Drosophila melanogaster: one gene and its partners. The protein of the gene in region 1 interacts with the protein of each later gene in a pairwise test. Each region holds a gene or a part of one and is shown on either strand. Other genes may lie near its edges.

The links.
Region 2: the proteins of CG14868 (region 1) and Taf3 interact in a two-hybrid assay, tested with the Drosophila melanogaster proteins (one large-scale study listed by BioGRID).
Region 3: the proteins of CG14868 (region 1) and borr interact in a two-hybrid assay, tested with the Drosophila melanogaster proteins (one large-scale study listed by BioGRID).
Region 4: the proteins of CG14868 (region 1) and CG13005 interact in a two-hybrid assay, tested with the Drosophila melanogaster proteins (one large-scale study listed by BioGRID).

Annotation. Positions count from the first base shown.
Region 1 is NT_033777.3:15,367,295-15,371,741, reverse strand, and holds CG14868 (uncharacterized protein), read left to right. Parts: upstream 1-1,796; 5' UTR 1,797-1,963; coding exon 1,964-2,029; intron 2,030-2,091; coding exon 2,092-2,676; intron 2,677-2,728; coding exon 2,729-2,836; intron 2,837-2,894; coding exon 2,895-2,982; intron 2,983-3,040; coding exon 3,041-3,179; intron 3,180-3,235; coding exon 3,236-3,806; 3' UTR 3,807-3,926; downstream 3,927-4,447. Other genes in the region: CG6136 (uncharacterized protein), read left to right, coding at 1-720; CG34404 (uncharacterized protein), read left to right, coding at 4,308-4,447.
Region 2 is NC_004353.4:460,808-468,384, reverse strand, and holds the start of Taf3 (TBP-associated factor 3), read left to right. Parts: upstream 1-1,556; 5' UTR 1,557-1,715; coding exon 1,716-1,884; intron 1,885-3,069; coding exon 3,070-3,588; intron 3,589-3,644; coding exon 3,645-5,330; intron 5,331-5,883; coding exon 5,884-5,997; intron 5,998-6,056; coding exon 6,057-6,880; intron 6,881-6,971; exon of another isoform or gene 6,972-7,337; coding exon 7,338-7,577. Other genes in the region: CG33941 (uncharacterized protein), read right to left, coding at 391-534.
Region 3 is NT_033779.5:9,250,953-9,255,061, reverse strand, and holds borr (borealin-related), read left to right. Parts: upstream 1-1,943; 5' UTR 1,944-2,075; coding exon 2,076-2,427; intron 2,428-2,711; coding exon 2,712-3,120; intron 3,121-3,185; coding exon 3,186-3,384; 3' UTR 3,385-3,590; downstream 3,591-4,109. Other genes in the region: lectin-30A, read left to right, coding at 231-902; aust (australin), read left to right, coding at 4,054-4,109. UniProt on the Drosophila melanogaster protein: Component of the chromosomal passenger complex (CPC), a complex that acts as a key regulator of embryonic mitosis.
Region 4 is NC_004354.4:16,801,966-16,806,262, forward strand, and holds CG13005 (uncharacterized protein), read left to right. Parts: upstream 1-1,684; 5' UTR 1,685-1,794; coding exon 1,795-2,027; intron 2,028-2,105; coding exon 2,106-3,315; 3' UTR 3,316-3,789; downstream 3,790-4,297. Other genes in the region: Rai1 (Rat1 interacting protein 1), read right to left, coding at 72-504, 592-1,286.

The DNA of each region.
Region 1 (4,447 bases):
GCCGAGGAAGGCGGAGCTTCACGCATTGAACTGTGTTCGGCATTGGGCGAAGGTGGCTTGACACCCAGCATCGGTACCCTAAAAACTATTAAGGAAACGCTCACAATGCCCATTTACTGCATGCTGAGGCCACGGCGGGGCACCGACTTTGTCTACAGCGACGAGGAGATGTGCGCCCTGCTCACGGACATGGACTTGCTGCGGGAAAACGGTGCCGATGGCTTCGTTTTCGGATCCCTGAATCCGGATCGCAGCATCAACGTGGATCAGTGTCGGCACGTTTTGCTGGCGTCCGGTGGTCTGCCAGTGACCTTTCACCGCGCCTTCGACCTCACCGACCAGAAGTCCATGGACGAGAATGTCGACATGTTGCGGGAACTAGGTTTCCGACGTCTGCTGAGCAGCGGATTCCGACCCACGGCTGCCGATGGCGTAGATTGCCTGGCACAGCTGATAGCCAAACATCAAAGAGACTTTATAGTTATGCCCGGCGCCGGCATAAAGGTGTCCAACCTGGAGGAGATCCTCACGGTCAGTCGCTGCCTAGAGTTTCACGCTTCCGCCCTGGACACGGCTGGCGAGGACTACGTGGCGCCCACCACCACGCGAATGGAGTGTGACGTGACCATGGGCAAACAGGACGTGGACCCCTACTACGGAACCAACTCCATCGTGGTGCGAAAGATGGTTACCATTGCGAAAGCGATGAGCTCCCGCTGAAAATCATAGTACTTAACCTATCCCTAAGACTTAAATTATTCCTTAACTGTTTGTTTACATCATATATAACTAGTATATACCTTTTACTTAAGTAGTCTTATCCCTAAAATTCTAAATTCTAAAAAATAATCCAAATTTGATTTGATTTGATTGTGCTGAAACAACATGATTGTGGAGATAGTAGAGAATCCTGCTGCTCTAGAACATAATTCTTTTAATGATCACTTAAATAATGCAGAAAGGGTATTGCATAGAATAGAAGCATACAATGTAAAGCTAAATAATCATATGAGGAGATTGAAAGAACTGCTGGCCAACAATAGAAGATTGATTTCGGGGCTATCGTACAATGAGCACAGCATTAAATCTTTATTGGAAAACAAAGCTCAAGATAAACAAATAGAGTAAGCTAAAGAAGGAAATATGAACTCGGTTATAAACTAATATATTTTTAGGCGAAATTCAAGTAAAAGAAGGTGTCATCTTCGTAGGACTTGCAAGGCGACCAACATCAGAGAGGCATGTTGGACGCAATGCAAGTCTCACATGGAGCCTGAAGAGGAAGAGCAAACCCAAGACGTGGTGGAGATCCAAACGAAAACACAAACATCTAGAAGCCGTTCCGGAAAAGTATGTGAACGGCAGAAAGGTGGTAGGGAGCTGAGTTCATATTACGAGCTAAGTGAGGAGATTGGTTTCAAAGGTAGGTTTTTATCAATTTCTGAGATCTCTTTCTTGAAATCCAAGTATATCCCAAGTGAAATGCATGCTAAAGCTTGTCGAAAAGATGGATTTCAAAACGGCCACAATTGCCGAAGTGAAAACCATTCGCAGAAGGGTGTTAAGTGCAATATCAAGTCGCCAAAAAAACCTGCAGTGAGCCAGAAGGAGTTTGGTCGCATCTGATATGTATGTCGAAAAATCCGTATTCCTACAAATAGGCAAATTGAATGAAATAAATTGAAAACTCTTTTCAAAATAATGACATTAGCTGTTTAATGATATTTACATATGAGGACAAGAACATTAATTTCAAATTAGGCTTATCGATATGAATCGAATTTCATGCGCAGGCGCATCTAAAATTGATTCACTCTAGCTGTGTGTTTTGGAACAGAATGGGGTCCTTGGAGCCCGAGAAAGTGTGATACAGCTGGCTCCTCCGGACAGCCCTCAGTTTACAATCACTGTCAATGTCAACATCTCGAGCTCGGCAAACGGAAAACCCACTCAAGCATTCGGCATGGACTTGGACGATGTGGCTAGTCATCACGGATTCGGTCAACATATGGCCACGTACAATGTAGAGGTGAGTCCGCCCCCACCCTTCGAGCGAACCAAGTGCGTTGTATGACCGACCCACCCTTACAGACCTCGGCGGTGCACAGGAAACTTCAAAGCAAGGTGGAGGCACTTCGAATCCTGCGCCAGGAGCTGGAACAGTTTCGCGTGGAGCGAGACCAGTACAAGCTGGTGGCGGAGACCCTGCAGCTGCGCTACTCCGCGCTGAAGAGTAATAGCGAACTTCTGGCTGTCGGTGGATGTGGAGCCCTCAGCGAGAACTCCAGCCTGGCAGCCCTGCTCCACGAGACGCGCGAGCAGAACCTAAAGCTCAGCACCGAAGTGGAAGCCCTGAGGCAGCGGCTCAACGAGCTGCATGGCGACATGGAACTACTCCGGGAGACGGAGGCCAGCAACAAGTCGCGGGTACAGGCAATGGCCAGCGAGAATGCCGCTCGCAACAAGGAGGAGCTGCAGTGGCGTCGTGAGCGGGCAAACTTTATCTGCCACCTGGAGGGCCTCAAAAAAAGGAATGCCCAGCTGGCCTTCGACCTGAAGGCGGTGATCGATGAGAAGGAGGAGCTGATAACCGAGCGGGATGCCTACAAGTGCAAGGCACACCGCCTAAATCATGAACTCTTTGTGGCCCTCAGGGCGAAGAAAACGCATCCAAGGGTGAGTTAACTGATGCTATATAGTACTTACTTGATAGTTATTGATTTTCCAGCTCCTGGACATCGATGGTGTTTTGCTGGAGAACAAGTACCTGCATGAACGTGTGAAGATCCAAGACAGCGAACTGGAGCTCACCAAACAGAGCATCAATAAGTACAAGGTACTGGTATTAGTTAAGACTTATTACCATTTTATTTATTTATATTTAAATCATTCAGACAATGTTGGATGCAAAACGAAAGAAGGGAATTGTAAAACTTGGCGGTGGGAGCACAAATGAGGACACCATTCTAAGCCCCCGGCAAGGTGAGTAATTATATGGTGGCCACCTCTTTCATGCCTTTCTAATTTGTTTGTACCCTAGTGAAAACAATCCTCGAGAGTGGCATTGAGCTGCCTCAGAAAACCGAGAGCTTAAGCGATCTAAAATCCTTGTGTCTGGCCCTGCTGGACAATCTCAACGACAAGAACTTGGCCCTGACGCACCAAAAGAAGACCAACAAGTAGGAAAATCCAGCTGAAAGTTGATATATATTTCATAAACCCATATTTCCTGCAGAATACTGGCTGGCAAAATGACGGAGCTGGAGCAGCGGTGGCAACAACTCCTCTCCGGAAACGATGACAACGCAGAGGAGCAGGAGGAGGACGTGGAATATGGTTATGCGCCTTCGCAGCTGCTCCTCAATGGCTATTGTGCCGCCATGGTAGATGACGCCGACATCAGCAGCACTCCGTCCATTGAGCCAGATAACGAAGGCGTCGCCATTACAGCGGATCATGAAGATTCAAAGAAGCACAAGTCCGTTGAGGCTCTGCATTCCGACGATGGAATGTCCTCGCTTTCAACGGAGTCCGTGGATTCGTCTGTGTACGGTGCAGATGTGCAGCCCGATGACTTCCAAAAGTCTTCATCCGCCACAACAGATTCGGGCAACTGTGGATTGAGCAGCCGCTGCAACGGCACGCCACGAATATCCAGTGCAGTGGCACGGGAACGTATGGAGGATCTGAAGGACCTGCCGCCTCACCTGGCCACTCTGGTCCAGAAAGCACTTCACGATCTGGACATGCGGGACTACGAGGCTATGGTGACGATACGAGCAGAGAATCTGGCGGCTATTCCTTAGAGAAAAACTAGTTCAATTGAGGACTCCCAAAGAAATGGATGAAACCATATCTCAGTGTTGACAAAAGATATAATACATATATATATTACCGCAACAGCGTACAATAAAACCAGATTATATAAAATAAATCACTTTATTCAATCGATATTGCGTTGAAACTGGATATGTACAATAACTATAGCATACAGTTTTAAAAGACGCGCCCAAGTTATCGATAAATAATATGCGGAGTGTTGCATACCGTTAGCATAAACACACTCTCACACACTCTTATTTCTGGGTATACATTTTCTGATAAGAATGCAATAAATATCCCGACTGGTTGGAGTAATTTCGAGTTTTTGAATTAAAAATGCCTTAAGAAAAGTTTTTAATGAGCCATGTAGAGTTAACACCAGTGCCACATATCCTGGGAATGGAGCACCAATCAAAAGTCATCATCAAGCGGCCCAAATCAGGCCAATTCTAGTCGGAAAGTCGTTGCAGCCGCCCATTGCCACCATGTCGAATGATGTGCAGGTCGCCCGGGTGGCCAAGATAGCTACCGATGTGCCGCGTCGCAGTGGCAAGCAGCGTGACTCCAGCGGATTCCAGGGCAAGCACTCCGGCAGCGCGGCTGGCGAGGATTTCGAGTACGTCTT
Region 2 (7,577 bases), on another chromosome or scaffold:
CAGCTTCTTTGAGCTCGTACATTATGCGCAAAATGAGAAATCTGCGCACTGAAGTGTATTCGTGTTTTTGCTAGTGGTTGATTGATTTTTTGTGACCGTATGAATATTGAGGGTGCGTCGTCGTTGGAGCAAGCGTCGCAACGGCATGAAACAAACTCTTACAGACTCTGTGACTGAGTCTTAATGCTTAATATCAATATTCTAGTTTTCATTGTTCCCGAGATCACAGCGTTCAGATTGATAGTCAGACGGACTAACCAGTTACTCGATAACTGACCGACTGCATATGAAATCTTCAGTATATGTAAGGAAATACGATACCTATACACCTATTATGGTTAACATAGGTGTAAACGTGTATTCGTTGGGAATCAGATTATCCACCCTTACCTGATTCTTAAGAGTTTCGTCAATGTGAATGGTAGACGTCTTCCGAATCATGTCATGAGAATATTTAAAGTTAACGGGTCCTAAGATCCCGCTCTCTATGAAAAAATGTTTTGCTTTATCAATGCTCGAGTTCAATGGTTGCATTTTTTAGTTCTTATTAGATTAAAAAAGGAGTAAAACGTTGGTCAGATCAATGTTGATGGAGATCTTCTTACTCATTTATACTGAGTATTTCAATAACTAGCTGAAAAGTTTAAAGGATTTGAGCTTTAAGTAGAATAAAACTTTTTATTAGACTTACACATATACCCAACACATGCAAATGTTCATATAGTTGTTTTATTTGTTAATTTTTATATTTTACATTATTACAAATACAAAATATTAAGTGCCGAAGATCTGTCGCACGCTTCTTTGTGTGAATACTCGACTAGAACATATATGGGAAACAATACCTAACCCAATAAATGTCTTAAGATATAAGTTTCTTCTAAACTGATCGAAAATATAACTAGTATTCTATCAGTAGTTTTGTGTCATTATACATTATACCCTCTTTCCACTAAATTACCTGCATATATACACATGTTTGGGATATAGTTCACATGATATTTTTGAAGCGATTTTAGGCTTAATGTTATTTTATTAAATTTATATTTATATATATTATTTATATTTATAATTATATTATTATTTATTCGGTAATTTCATAGCTGTTCTGGGCATTACTTTCTTTCCACAATAAACATAACATTAGATGCTGTTAAAATTTGTAGTAAGTAATCGTAGTAATAATAGTAATAGTAGTAGTAAAACTAAAACATTTTTACGGGTAACAACACAAGACTCTCGTTTCACTCTGCATTCAAGCGCTCTATTATTAAACAAGCTCTAATTATATTTCCATCGTTCAATATCTATTTTAAAGAATAGAAGGATTAGAAAACTTTTTCGTCTTATTTTCAAAATTTGTGTCTTATTCGAACACTAACAGCGAACATACCGAAAGCAAACCTTTTATCTGCCCTTATAACCACTTTCAAACCACATAAAAAATTGCAGTTTGTTTATGTTGGTCAATCAATTGAATTTGATTGAACCCCATGATTACCACTTTTGGCATACCCCAAATATCGATATATTTCCCATCAAAGGCAAAATCGATAAGTTATCGTTAACTAAACATCCACAGATTGTAGTTCGTCTAATAAAGGTGTAGACACCAAGTCAATTAATTTTAATAACAAGAGGAAGTTCGTGGGACGGTTAAACCTATTCACAGCATTTCCAAGGTTTTCTAAAGAAGGTGTACCTCATGAAAGAACATGATGGCAGACAGATACGCTTCAGATTTGGCCCTTGTTGTCGTTGCGCAGATAACGCAAACTATTGGTTACAGCTGCACTCTAAGTGCACCCTTGGAGTTGTTGCAAGACATATTGCAGAAGTTTGTACAGGAGTTCGCTCGAGACATGCATAGACATATGGAACACGGTAAGTGGTATAGACCCTCAAATCAACGGAACCGATCATGAAATACAACAAAGCCTGAGTAGTTATAGTCGTTACTTGTAGAATAAGAGATTCAATAAAAAGTATGTGACATATATGTACATGTACATAAATGTATAACTTATCATCCCTGCAGTTCCATCAGACTATCATTAATAAATCATTATTTATCATTAAAACAATTTTGTTTGGAGTTAGGGCATTTTGCTTTCAGTTGCGTTAGAATACCGGTCAACCTGTCCGTTTAACCTTAAAGTAAAATATATTAGTATAATGTGTACAGAAATGTATTACGAAAAATGTACATCGCTTCTGCGAGTAGTACGTGTTGTTGCGTGTAAAATGAATCCATTGCCATTGGAATTTCCTGATTAAGCTCGCGCCTGCTACTCGCATAAATCTAGTCCCAGTTATCCGCGAAAAAGGAAGCGTGCCTCTTAGAAAAGTAATCTTTTAATTTATTTCTTTCTTTTATTGTTATTTCCCTTTTCCTCGCCCAGTCCCTTTCACCTACATCAGTATATAATTTCTCTAGTTCCGATGCGCATTAAAAATTTAAAGTTTCTTACGAAACTTATGTGCTCGGCGACTTAGAGCGTCAGCTTAGCATTCGGCTGGAAATAAAAGATCCATAATTTATTGCTGATTCCCTGCTTGTGGCTGTGCAGCCAAAGCAGTTGGTACTGTGGGCGAAACCGATGATCTTGGGATGTTTTTAAGGAGCGATGAATTGTGGGACTGCCGGGGTCTCGATTGGGGATTATGAAACCTCAATAGGCATGTAGATTGTATTTTTTGCAAATTATTATTTCATTAATTGTCTTGTAAACACCAAAAAAAAAAAAACAATAAATCTTTGATTTATATATATCTTAGATTAAGATATATCTTAGATTAAGATATATTTTAGATTAAGATATATCTTAGATTAAGATATATCTTCCTTGTAACCACCGGAACAGAAATAAAAATAAATAGTTGAGGAACTCGACTAAAGCGTTCTCTTATATTTTCTTTTTAATTTTGCTTGGTATGTTACTTAATAACGTTATTTATATGAGTTCAAAAAAATCTTATTAAAACCAAACAAAAAATCAAAAATGCTTTGTTTATTTGGATAAAATTTATAAAAATATTAATTGACAAGTATATATATTACTAATTTAGCAAATCGGATAGAGCCGAACCTTAAGGATGCACGCTTAAGTATAAAAAATCTCAGCATCAATGTTCAAGAACTATTGGACTACATAGGTAATGTCGAGCCTGTTGGATTCATCCGGGATGTACCACAGTTTCCCATTGGAAAATCTGTAAACATGAACTTCCTTAAGCCTGGAAGCGCTGAAACTCTAACGCGACCTGTCTACATATTTGAATACTTGCCACCAATGCAGGACCCCGAACTTCGTGAAATTCCAGCCGATGTTCAAAAGGAATTTTCGGAAAAGCAAGAGTTTTGTTCAAAAGCAGAGTATAGTTCAACAAACGCAGCTGATAAGTTAGGCGCCAAGCACATTGATTCTATCTCTCCTAATACTGTGATAAATTTCCGGTCGAATGCCTTTGAATTGGACGTTGGGAGCTCAGTCCGCGAAATGAGCAGCGTGGTAATGACAACAGGGGGATTCATAAGTCCAGCTATTGAAGGCAAGCTCCCCGAAGATATCATACCGGATATAGTTGGTACGACCTATCCTTATACCACAGCTTAATAAATTTTCATGTATCGGTGTTTATAGAAAAATTTTTAGGTTTGGATGCACCCTTTTCACCGACGATAATTGTAAATTCGTTACAAAAATCTCCACAACTGGCGCTTTCTGACAGAGACAAAACAGTAAATCCACGAAAAATCATTCCCTCAGAAACTAAAATCTTCAAACAAAATGCTGCATTATTGACAAGTGGACATTCAGAGTCTTCAATAATATATGCGTCTAACAACCATACGATGCTAACTGTTACAACACCTAAGAAGAATAGAAAACAGAAACATGATTTAATATGCGAACCCGGTCAAAGCGAACTTCTAACTAATCCGTTTGAAAAAGCTCAGGAAAAGTCACAGAGAAAAGCTTTAAAAATGTATAAACAAACCTCAAAGAACCAAAGAGACAGCTCAATTAATCAAATACAAAACATGAAAAAGTTAAAAAAAAAATTTAACCGCGGATCCTTCGATCCAAATAAAAAACATTTAGAAAAAATATTTAAGAAGCAGTCCAAACTTAAGCAAAATGATCTTCAACTGGACATCGACGAAAAACACTTTTTGCAGAATTCTCAAACTACGAGCGGCCTTGCCATAAAAGCTAACTCAAATGAAAATGCTTTACAAGCTGATATCCCTAGTCAGCCGCCAACAGTAACAAGCCAGATTGAAAATAATTTTCGAAATTCAATTTATCCAGTGCAGCCATCTGTAATTCAACAAACGCAAGTGCTATTGGCAGAAAAAAAAAGTGGATCAGAACCAGAACGAAGTAAATTGGACATTTTTAAGAAAATTTCTAAGCCACGTACTCCACGTCCAGATATTGGGGCGACTTTAGTACCTCCTGGAACCGGGGTATCTGTATTTGGAAGCACAATGACCCCTTCAGCATTAATTAGTCTTCCATCGGGGACTACTATAACTCCTACACCTTCACTTGGTCTAAATTCTGAAAACAAAAACGTTCCGAGTATGAAAATCAACCCTTGCAATATATTCGATGGAACTATACCTTTAACTAAAGCAGGCGTTGAAATGTCAATTATTGATTCGCCAAAGCCAAAAAAGCGAGGTCGCAAACCTGGAGGAAAAAATGTAATAAAACAAACAAATGTTGTATCGCAACCTTTAATTAATAAGGTCGAACGGAAAAAGTCAAGCCAAGCTATTACACTGCCTCTATCATCATCTCCAATGATAATAACCCAAAGTTCTTTAAACGTCTCCCCGCCAACAGAACCTCTCAACTTGTGTAATACCGAACAGCCCTCGAATAATTTTTTGTCAAACCTGTATGCAAAAGAAAAAAAGGACAGAAAAAAGTACAAATCATTACCAGAAAATGTAATGCAATTAGACAAGAGCTGTTCTCCTGAAAAGGCATCAACACTACATAATTCTATTCGACCCACAAAACAAAATAATGATGTACAATGTTCAGATAAATTTGTGACTATATCCAATGCTTTGTCAAATGCATCAATTTACCCTGGAATTCAAACAGGAATGGTTCCGTTGCTTCCTTTATTGCAATTTCCACCACGACCTGGTCTTATTCCTACTGGACCTGGGCTTTTTCCTGCAGTCACTGGTTTAGTTGGCTTCGGGAATCACGGTAACAGAATACCTATTTCGCCGTTCATAGATTATCCTGGACCAGAAGAATCAGTTGCGGATACTGTTCGATGTCCACCAATTAAGGATTCTCCTGGTACGTCAAATGAGTTATTTTTATACGCATTGCTCGTAGTATATATACGTAGTATATATTTTCGTGACCAGGATCAATAGCCGAGTGGATCTGATCCTGTCCTGTCCGTCCGTATGAACGTCGAGATCTCATGAACTATAAAAAGCTAGTAGGTTGAGATTAAGCATAAAGATTCTAGAGACATAAACCCAGCTGAAGTTTGTTGACCCAAACTTTACTTTACCATACCAGTTCGAGTATCACAGCTCGAAGAATATATTGCTTACATAAAAGTCTCGGCAATATCTTAATTCATTACAGCAAAAATACTAATCTGAAACTAATCATTGAACCGTTGAATGTAGAAAATAGGTATAGGTACACACTCAAGAAGTGGTATTGGGAAGCTTCTAGATGGGTTAGTATGAAATATTTGCGTTTGTCATAAACTAGATATTTGGAGGAGCTCAAATTTTTTTTTTATATTGACAATACGTACCTACCTACAATATGTGAATTATTTGTCGACCAAAATATTTAAATATTTATAATGATTAGAAAAAATAATTTTTAGTTACTGATTCTGATCAATTTCTGAGCCGATCTTCCACGCAAACTGACTTGCAAATGGATCGAAACTACTGCAATGTTGCTCCATTAGTACCTGACTCAATGAAATTCGCCGAGTGTAAGTTTAACGGTAAATATATTTGTAATTTAAAAATAACTTATTACTTATATCTGTAGGTAAAAGCGTATCTTGTGCCAGCACAATATTGGAAAACCCATCTGCACAGGCTACAAGCAAAATAAACACGAAACCGCTTTTGGAGGCTTCTGGAAATCCTGATGATCCAATAGAGGTTTCAGATGATTCAGATGAATCAATGCACAACAGGCAGATGGTTCAAAGAAAAACCCCAATATCATCACCAACTTATGTTAAAACCAGCTTCGCAGAACTAAATCCCTCCTCGTTTACGTCAGCTGCATCTAATGGTGAAGAAAAATCCAAAATGGATCTAAGGAATATTGTGTCTCTAAGCTCTAACGAACCACTTAAAAAATTTAAAAAACTTGTTAAACAGAGTTTTCCCGATGTAAAAAGCGTACCCCACACGCCAGCTTCACATTCATCATTTCCACAATTTAACTTGCCTAATTTTATGGGAGGTGACAAATTCAGTTTAGCTGGGGGAGCAGATCTTATTCCTCTGTCGAGAGTGAGTGATTCGGAATATTCCTCCAAAATAGTACCATTCAGTAGCTTAGGTGGAACCATACCGAATCAAATCAAAATTTCAGAAGAGCACAATATTTTTTCTACCTTTTCTAACTACGAAGATATTACAATAACACCAACTGGATTAACGTCGTTGGAACCGAAAATGCGGAAACATCACAAAAAGCTAAAAAAGGTTAAAGAAGGGAAAAATAAAAAAAAGAAAGAGAAAAAGGACAAATCAAAGAAAGCGGATCAGATTGGCTTACCATCTTTCAAATCCGACCGGAAAATAAAGGCCAATGATAAAAGGCAAAAAAAAGAAAAGAAAAAGGATAAAGATAAGCAGGTTTGTGTCAATTCTTTATTTATAAAAAAATAGGTGTTCGTGTTGTGGTATTTGGATCAGATATGTAGATACGCCGGAGCTGATAAGCAACCTTTGCGATAAGTACGTACACAAACTCATTTGAAAACAGCAAGTTATGTGGGAAACATTTTTAAAATCATGAATTCTGTGAACATATTCCGTATAATAACATTAAATTATGCATTATGCATTATACATTATACATTATGTTCCAAATTTGTATTAATACTTATATAGACTGTTGTGACTAATTATAACATCGAAGCCTACAGCTTGGTATAGGTACAAAAACATCTTAATCCTACATAAACATGTAAAGCAGCCAAATCTTTTAAAGTTATATTTTTAGTTCTTACAAATTTTATTTTAGTCTATACACATATCTCAGCAAAATCTTTTAAAGTTAAATTTATAGTTTAATCAATTCTTATTTTAGATTTTAGTCCATATACCAGATGACACAGAAGAATTTGACAAGGTGCCTTTAGCTAACAACGATGAACCTGTATTGAAATCAAGTTCCATGACAATAAATCCATCGTTAGGTGCCGCCACAAGTGGAATATCTCCAAATCAAATACCAAAACTAACACTAAAACTTAGTGGAAAATCTACATTATTTTCGTCTTCAGAAAAGGAGATGACAGATGCAGGGAAACTAAAGCAAACCACGATT
Region 3 (4,109 bases), on another chromosome or scaffold:
TACGGTATCAAGAAAGATTTTCCTAATTGGTAAGCCATAAATTGTATTAATAAATTTTATTAGTTATACACCTGCTTAGAACGAATAACCTATGTATTTGCCAGACGTTGTAAACCGTTTTCAACGCTTTAATATGCTTTTAGATGCGGATTGTTATTTCATTATACAGATGTTAACATCCAGAAACAGTCCGTTTTAAGGATTGGGACTAGCAGGTCATACATAGTAACATGTTCAAGTATTGTTTTATATGCGTCATTCTAGCCTGGGCTTCTCGTGATGTTCTCGCTAACAAAACGGAAAATCCGCTGCTAATTGATCAAGTGGCTATAAATCAACAACAATGGTTCACATTCATTGCGCTGAAGGAAAGTGAAATGCAACAGAAAATAGTGAGGATCGAAAGATCGATAGAAGAACGATTGATGGCCATGCAAAGCAAGTTGGCATACGCACTGAACGAGCTGCAGACCATAATGGGCAACCAGAGTGTGGAGACTCTCGAGAAACTACGAATCTCGCACAGGATTAATCCGGCGCTTTTCCAGAGAATGGGCACAAGACGCTTCTACATTGAGAAGGAAAACAAACAAAATTGGTTTGGCGCCTCAAACACCTGTCGTCAATTGGGCGGTCACATTGCCACCATCAGGGATGAGCAGGAGTTTAATGAGATCTTCTCAAGAGCGCCGGCCGGCGTCTTTTGGATAGATATGAATGCTATGTTCAAGAACGGCCTTTTTGCATCATCACTCACCGGCAGATCGCCGCCGTTCTTTAAGTGGAAGAAAGAAGAAAGGGGCAATAAGTTCGATTGCGTTAATGTATACAACAAGGAAATGTACAATGAAAATTGTTTCAACACCCATTTGTTCATATGTCAAGCCGAGCAGTGGGATTGATGCGAATGCGAAAATAATAAATTAAGTTATTTTCATTTTGCATCTCGGCAATTTACCGACAGCTTTTAATAAAGTTATGAGCCTACTGTCTTTTTTATTTTACTAGCCCAAAAATGAAGTACATAACTGTTTTCTCAGCCAAGAGGATCATTAAGATTATTGGGTAATGAAAATTAAAATATTTTCCCTTAAGTACAAAACCAGGCCAATCCATATGGGGTTTCCATCAAGTGCCCAGAAAGCGGTGCTTGGTATTTCAAAATGCCTTACACACATGACGTGTCCACGTTCTGTGCAGAAATAAGGGCGGCCAGTGCCACGCCCCTCCACAAGGAAGCCACCCAAATGGTGACAAAAATGCTTTTGATTTGTGGGCCATTCGCACACCCATAGCCACCCACGCTTATTAGAATCCTGCCATTGTGGCAGCCAAAGTGCAACTAGCAGAGACAGATAGCAAACATCCAACAATGTGGAGCAGAGCGCAATTTATGACCAGGGGCGAGATTTCGAAACGGACTAATAGGATTGCGGCTCCAATTTTTGGGGCTTTTCATTTCAGATACCTCCGCACATACGATGCAAAATTATATCTCGAGTTTTCACTTACGTTATTATACGCTCTAGTGTGCAAGTCTTTAGTTTTTCCAATTATTACTATTCAATAATACTAATATACCAATATTGTATTTTGTTATAATAATAAGATGCTATTACCGTTACATTATTAACAAATGGGTAGTTGGAATTCCCCTTTCAAAAATAAAGATATAAAAAAAATCGATCTCTATGTTGTAGGGAACTAGTTCATTGAGATTAGTTGCAGAACTCATTGGAATTATTCAAAACTCATTATTCAAAATATAGATAAATAAATATAGAAGATATATACTTAAATGTGTTATTTTGGAGTGACTTCAGTTAAGTTCGAATTATTTAATTGAATTTACCGCGCATTAGTGTTACCATTTTACACTTACACCATCAAAATATTTCTAGTATTTTCAATCGGTCGTGAACTGGGCAATGAAAAGCCATCTGGCAACACTGTTCCATGACGCTTGAATTTTAGCGGACAAACTCGAAAAGAAATAGCAAAAAGACGACGCTTGCTACGAAAATAGTTATTCCTCGCAAAAACCCTGTAACGTGTAAACAAAGGCCGCTGCCACGATGCCGCGCACCAAGATACCAAAGAACTCCAAACGCAACCGCGAGGTGGCCAATCGCGAAGAGAAGGTGCGCCTGTACGAGCTGAAAATGGATTCCCGCCTTATCAGCATCGATTCGCTGGAGACCAAGTTCCTCTCCGCCGTGGACCACCAGGTGAAGACACTGCTCGGCCAGGTGCAGAAGGAGCTGGCCAATCTGAAGATGCCCGAAGTGCTGCGCCTCTTCGAGGAACTGGACCGCTTCAGCGACTTCAAGGCCAGCGATCAGACGCAGCTGCTCGCCTCGATGTCCATGAGTGGCAGCGCCATCGAGGGCCACGCCCCCTCCGCCACTGGAAGTCGCAATGACGAAGGTTTGTTGGCCTATATATGTATGCTGTTATACCAATCTGCTGGCAAGGATGTCATCACCCGAATTACAAATGAATACCGGTTTTACATGCCAAATTGGCAAATTCCATTGTATATTCGGTATTCATCATACCCTCTTGTTGCCATTTTCACTTTTAATTTTAATCTAACTGGTGTCCGGCTTTGTGACTAACTCAACTTTGCTTTCTAACTCCGCACCGCACATTTCAATGCACGCAAAATGCATATACCCACATCCACATCCTGTGCCGGTCACTGTATCTAGGCTACCTTACAGAGGACAGCAGCATCGGTGCCAGCGGTGGGAGCATCCTGGCCGCCCACACAGGCTCCCTGCTGCGGTCCACGAAGGCCATGCGCACACCCGGACCACTGCACTCGGCGAGGGCTCGTCGAGCGCGGCGCAGTCGTTCCGCCTGCGGGGATCTCAACATATTGCACTCGGCCAAACCGCCGTCAATTTCGAGCAGCAGCAGCAGCAGCCGCAATTCGCGCAGCAAACTGCGCACACCGATGGCCTCGCGTGCGAAGGCCTTCAGTGCCGACCGCACTCCTTTGAAACAGAAGCAAATGCGCTCCGGATCGCCAACTACACCGCCGATGGCATTCCTGCGCTATCCCAAGCCCGGCGAGGTGGCACTATCCAAATACGGCAGTCCCATGGTGGCTCAAGTGTAAGTATTGATCACATACTACGTGTCGATACCAATTTGTTAAAACCATTTTTCCCACACGATAGAATGCCAGACAAGTTCGCCAATGTGAACATACCCATTCGGAACGGAGTTCTTAGCTTGCGGCCCAAAAAACTGGATGCCGACGAGGTGGAGTCAAATCTGTTGGAGAACCTGGACGAGGACACCCTTAACCAGATCAAAACGCTGCACGAGAACTTGCAGATGATTGTTAATAAGGCCAGCCAGGCGGTGTTCAAGTAGCTGTCATTTCAAACGCTTATCTAGATATAATGCTATATCATATATTTTAATACGTTTCGTTTAAGTTCAGTTTTCATTTTACTCATTTAGTTCAAGTATTTTGTCTTTATTCATAAAAATCTATCGTATTTGCATAAGTTTCAATACATGTTCATATCCAAGTGTACGGCGATTTAAATGTAATGTTTTAAATACATGCTTAATCCAAAAAAAAAAAAATGAAGCGTTCCATGATGATTACTCGCCTTCAAGCAAAACGACGGAGAATCGAAAGAGATGAGAAAGTGAGAATCCAATTTAATTCTGCAATGGATAAAGTCGATGAGATGGCCAAGTTGTTCAAGCAGGATGTGGACAACAAATTGGGTTTGCTTCAAGCCAGGACTGATGCTCGTTTGCTGCAGATGAAATGGTCGGATTTCATGGCTCTAGCAAAAACTGCTACCTTCAAATAACATCTTTCTTTTGCTAATTGCAAAAGAGGCAACCGCTTTTAAGTTCCCAGATTTCAGAAAGTGGCCAATAAAATTATGTTATGTTAAAAATGTTTAAAATGTATTTTCGCACGTTGATATGAATACAGTTTTGAATCGCTTGTTCACCAAAGAGCCCTTTGACTTTGTTAGAATTAGGCGATTAGTTGACTGGAATATATAAATCGTTAGAAATATGCCTCGCACCAAGATTACAGCTCGTCGTCAGGCCCAGCGCCAGAAGGCTGATCG
Region 4 (4,297 bases), on another chromosome or scaffold:
TACAAAAAGAAACGATTAATTCCCATTATAAAATCAGACTTGCTGTTGTTTAGAAAATGTTATGCATTGCCTTAGGAGCGCGTTTTGAGCAAATCTCGATACCAGTTGGGCAGGATTTGATGTTCCGGACCGCGCAGCACTTCGTAGCTGGCGTGCTTATTTAAAAAAGTCACCTGGACCACCGCAAACGGATCGTTAATGTTCACCAGCAGCTTCTTAAGATTGCGCAGAAACTGTTCCAGGTACCAAGCCATTGCCGATGCACTCCACGGTTTGTTGCGGGCCAGTGTTGCCACATCGATCTCATCGATCCTCTGCAGCATGCCCTTGGTGTCGCGGAGTCCCACGTAGAGCGTAGTGATGCCCACCAGGAATGACTGACTCCACCAGTTGGCAGACTTGAACGATTTGAAGGTGCGAATTTGGTGAGGGTTCATATTGAAGACGCTGGTCTTTAGCTCTACGAATTTCAATGAGTCGAGCACTCTGCAATCTTTGAAGTCACTAATGGGATTCGTGTAAGTGTATACACAAATAATGAATGGATGGAACATTAATCATTCATAAGTATTTAAACCCTGGACCACTCACACTGGCTCCTTGCTGTCCACACAGTCCAGTTCGGCGCCGTATAGCATCAAAATCCCGGCCAGGTTCGTGCGGTACACGCCCATGAACTCCTCTGCCTCGTTGACCGGCACATTGGTCACCGGTTTTCCCTGCGCCTGGGCACTGGTCAGGTACTGCTCGAACTTGAAGCCCCAGGAGCACATGACCCGCTGTGCCCTGCTCATGTTCGCGTTCTCCAGCTGCTGCTCTGGGGTTTCCTCCTTGCACATGTAGACGTTGCCGTTCAGGAGCGTCGCCTTGACGCGGAATGAGCGATTATCATACTGCAGGCACATTATCTGCCGCAAAATACCGCGCAGTGTTACAAAGTCGCTGTCCAGGCGTAGATTTCTCGCATCGGAGCTACTCTGACGGAGCAGCTCCTTCTGGTGTTGCTTAATGTAGGTCAGCATAATTTCCAGATCCCGTTTGCCGTTCTCGACGGGCTTACGGATCACATCCTCTATACCCCCGTTAAGATCGAACGGCAGCGGTGGCCACGGTTGGCCAGCCAAGTAGCTGGCGCAGCTGGCGTCGTCCACAAATTCCCGGCTAGCGTTTATGCTGCACACACCGATGCACTTCGGGCGGCTTATCGAGGGAAACGGCGTATTGTACATCGCGCCCAGCTTGTGCTGCCCCCAGGGCACACTGATGAAGCCCGCGTTCTCGGCCATTTCCTTCGCCTCCGCGGATTTTCCAAGTTCAAACTATAATTATCCGGAAAATAACGCTAATATTTATTAGAGGTGGAGAAAAATCGCAAACATCGATGTTTTTCGAGGAATCATCGATTATTTTCTTTCTCCACTGCGCAACTAAATGGGCTAAGACCTTGGGAAATGGTTGTGGTGAGAATCAAGTGTAGGCGATTAGTATCGAAAGCTAAATTGTATTAAAAATGGGATGATGATGTGCTTATTAATTTTAATGTAATAAGTGAACGCTAATGATGATAGTACCTCGATGAAGAGAAAAAATTTTGACTCTTAGATTTGCTTTATGTTCTGTTTGAGCACGTCTATTCACCACGAGGTATTTGCAAGCTTAAATCAAACAATTTGTGTGACCACAGTCATGGGAATCTAAGAATATACTAAATACCAAAATAACACGAAATCCGATTCGGTTTTGTTCATAGATTTGTTTTTATGTTTATTTGTAACCACCAAACGTGGCTGGCCAATGAAGCATCTCCTGGAGGATCCCTCGGTCCTGGCCGAGCTGCAGGTGCTGCCGGATAAGACCGGTGGTGTACAGGATCGACAGGAGGCCGCCAAGAATCCTGCAGAGAATTCCGTGCCCGACGAAGATTTGCCGGCTGCAGGAGGCGATTTGCTACGCGTTAAGGATACTCTGGGCCAGCTGGCCTGCAGTCTGCACAAGCTGTCCAAAAACGATCACATAGTCATCGATCGGTGGGTAGTAATCCCTATTTTTTGGAGCTTTCATTCACCTTCTCTGATCACGTTCCGTGATCTTTTATTCCTGTGCAGAAAGCGCCATCAGGTGATTCGCACAGATGCGGCTACGCAACAATTAACGATTTACCGCTGTCCGGATCCCGCCGTCATGGGGATTCGCCCGGCGATAGAGAAAAATGCCCAGAATCCGCCTGCCAAAGTGGGTAGACCATCGAAAAGAGCCTGTTCGGTTGCCACCGCTCCTGTGGCGAAGAAACCAACACTAGCGGAGCAAAAACCTGCTCCCGACACCCATCGCACTAGATCCGGTCGCCAGGTGCGCAGCTTGATGCCACAGCCCGCTCCCGTGACCAGTGGCTCAGCGGTTGAGCCAAGTTCTGCCCGCATGCTTGAGATGCTGGTGGCCGACTTGCGGGACAAGGACTACCGGGCACCCATGGCAGCGCCGAAAAGCACGAGTGTCAGCAGCAGCGTCAGTATAAGCCAGGAACCGACCACAACGACAACCATCCAACGAGCCGTGCCCAAAAATGCCGTTTGTCCCGGCTGTGGAAAGATCTTTTTGGGACGCCGTCTGCAGCGTCACTTTGTCAAATTCCCAGAGCACATGCCGCGTCCGGGCGAGCAGACACCACCTGTAGCTGTAGCTACAGTACCATCAACGGTTCATCCTCCCTCCACGCCGTCGCTGTTCGGCCTTCTGACCGCCCAACTGCAGCGGCATTCCCATCTCAGCGAGGAACAGCGCTCTGATCTCTTTCTTAACGAACTTAACGACTTTGTGGAGCAGCTGCAATTGCGCAGCCAACGGCTTATACGGAATACCTCTGGACTGCATTTTGTAAATGCACGAATTGCACGAGTTTTGGGCATACCCGAGGGTCAGTATGCGTTGGATATGTCCGCCATGGAGTCGCCGCTGGCACCGATGCCGGAATCAGAGGGAGCGGCCTTGGTTGCCGGCAGCGGTAGTGAAGGAGCCCGCAATCTGGTGGTCTACGCAGAGTTGAGCATGTCGCTGGACGATCCGCTCACAGACGAGGCTGCACAGCGTCTCAATCTATCGGCGGGCGGTCAACTTCATCCGCCTTCCGAGGAGAGTCTGCTTAGAAACGTCAGCGATCTTATGCAGCCGCCAGTGGCAACTGCTCCTCCGACTGTGAACCATGGCTACGATCATGCCAGCGATAATGCCGTGGAGGCCCTGACCATGAAGGAAACGCCCAACACAGAGGCTATTCTCGATCTCAACGTGGACTTCTTCCAGTTCAATCCGAATTAGAAGGGACAAATGTATAGAAAGCGCTTAGCTAGCAATGGAGATGAAGAATTCTATGATAGAGTGAAAGGTATTTCAACTACTTTTTAACTTGAACACTGAAAAGGTTCTAAAATATGAAAGTTTAAAACATTTATTTTATTTATCGTGCATATTGCATGAAGAAAGTCTCTGAAAATTGAAACGAACTTTTCTAAGTAGATTAAAATGTATTAATGGAGTATGTAAATATAGAAATAGGGATCTCTTAGATACATTTTGGTATTGTATTTTGAATTTTTACTGAATATTAATATTGAAATTGTATAATTTGAAAAGTAACCTCATATAACCTCCAGCCAAAAATCTATGCAATTAGTACGCAAATGTAAATGGTTGAGTGGCAAAAATGCCGCATGCGGATGGAGATTATTTATGAAGTACTTAACTGGCTAACGAAAGATGCCTATTAAATGAATTTATCTTCCTTGATTTTTGAAATTGTTGCGTTATTATTTGCTGGAACATTTGGAAGTGAATAAAAATCCTGGCCAATTTAGTTTAATGTATATATGCTTGTGGTTTCTAGCAGCTTTTCATACTTTTCATTTGTGTTTACTGCAAGTCAATTAAATTGATCGCAATTTTAATGGCGTTCAGCTAAATGGTAAATTTCTGTGAAAAATTATTATTGCTTTTAGTACAAAGCTGCTGCTTAAATAAATCCCTTTCAATACCTGTGTGTATTACAATATCTAGAATATCTTTATTGAAAAGCGTGCGTGTATCTATGTTTACTTTCAGGTGTAAAGTTTATTTGCCACGATGTAATCATATTTTCTGGCCATCCACTTGATTTTCAAAATACGTGGAGGATGGCAAGGGGGTGGCTAAAATCAATTTGGCAGTTATCACTGCAAATGGACGACCGTGTTTGCCTTGGTTCAATATGATTAAAGCTGATGACCGCCATGGAATTGCACCTAAAAGTGCAGTCAGAAAGTGA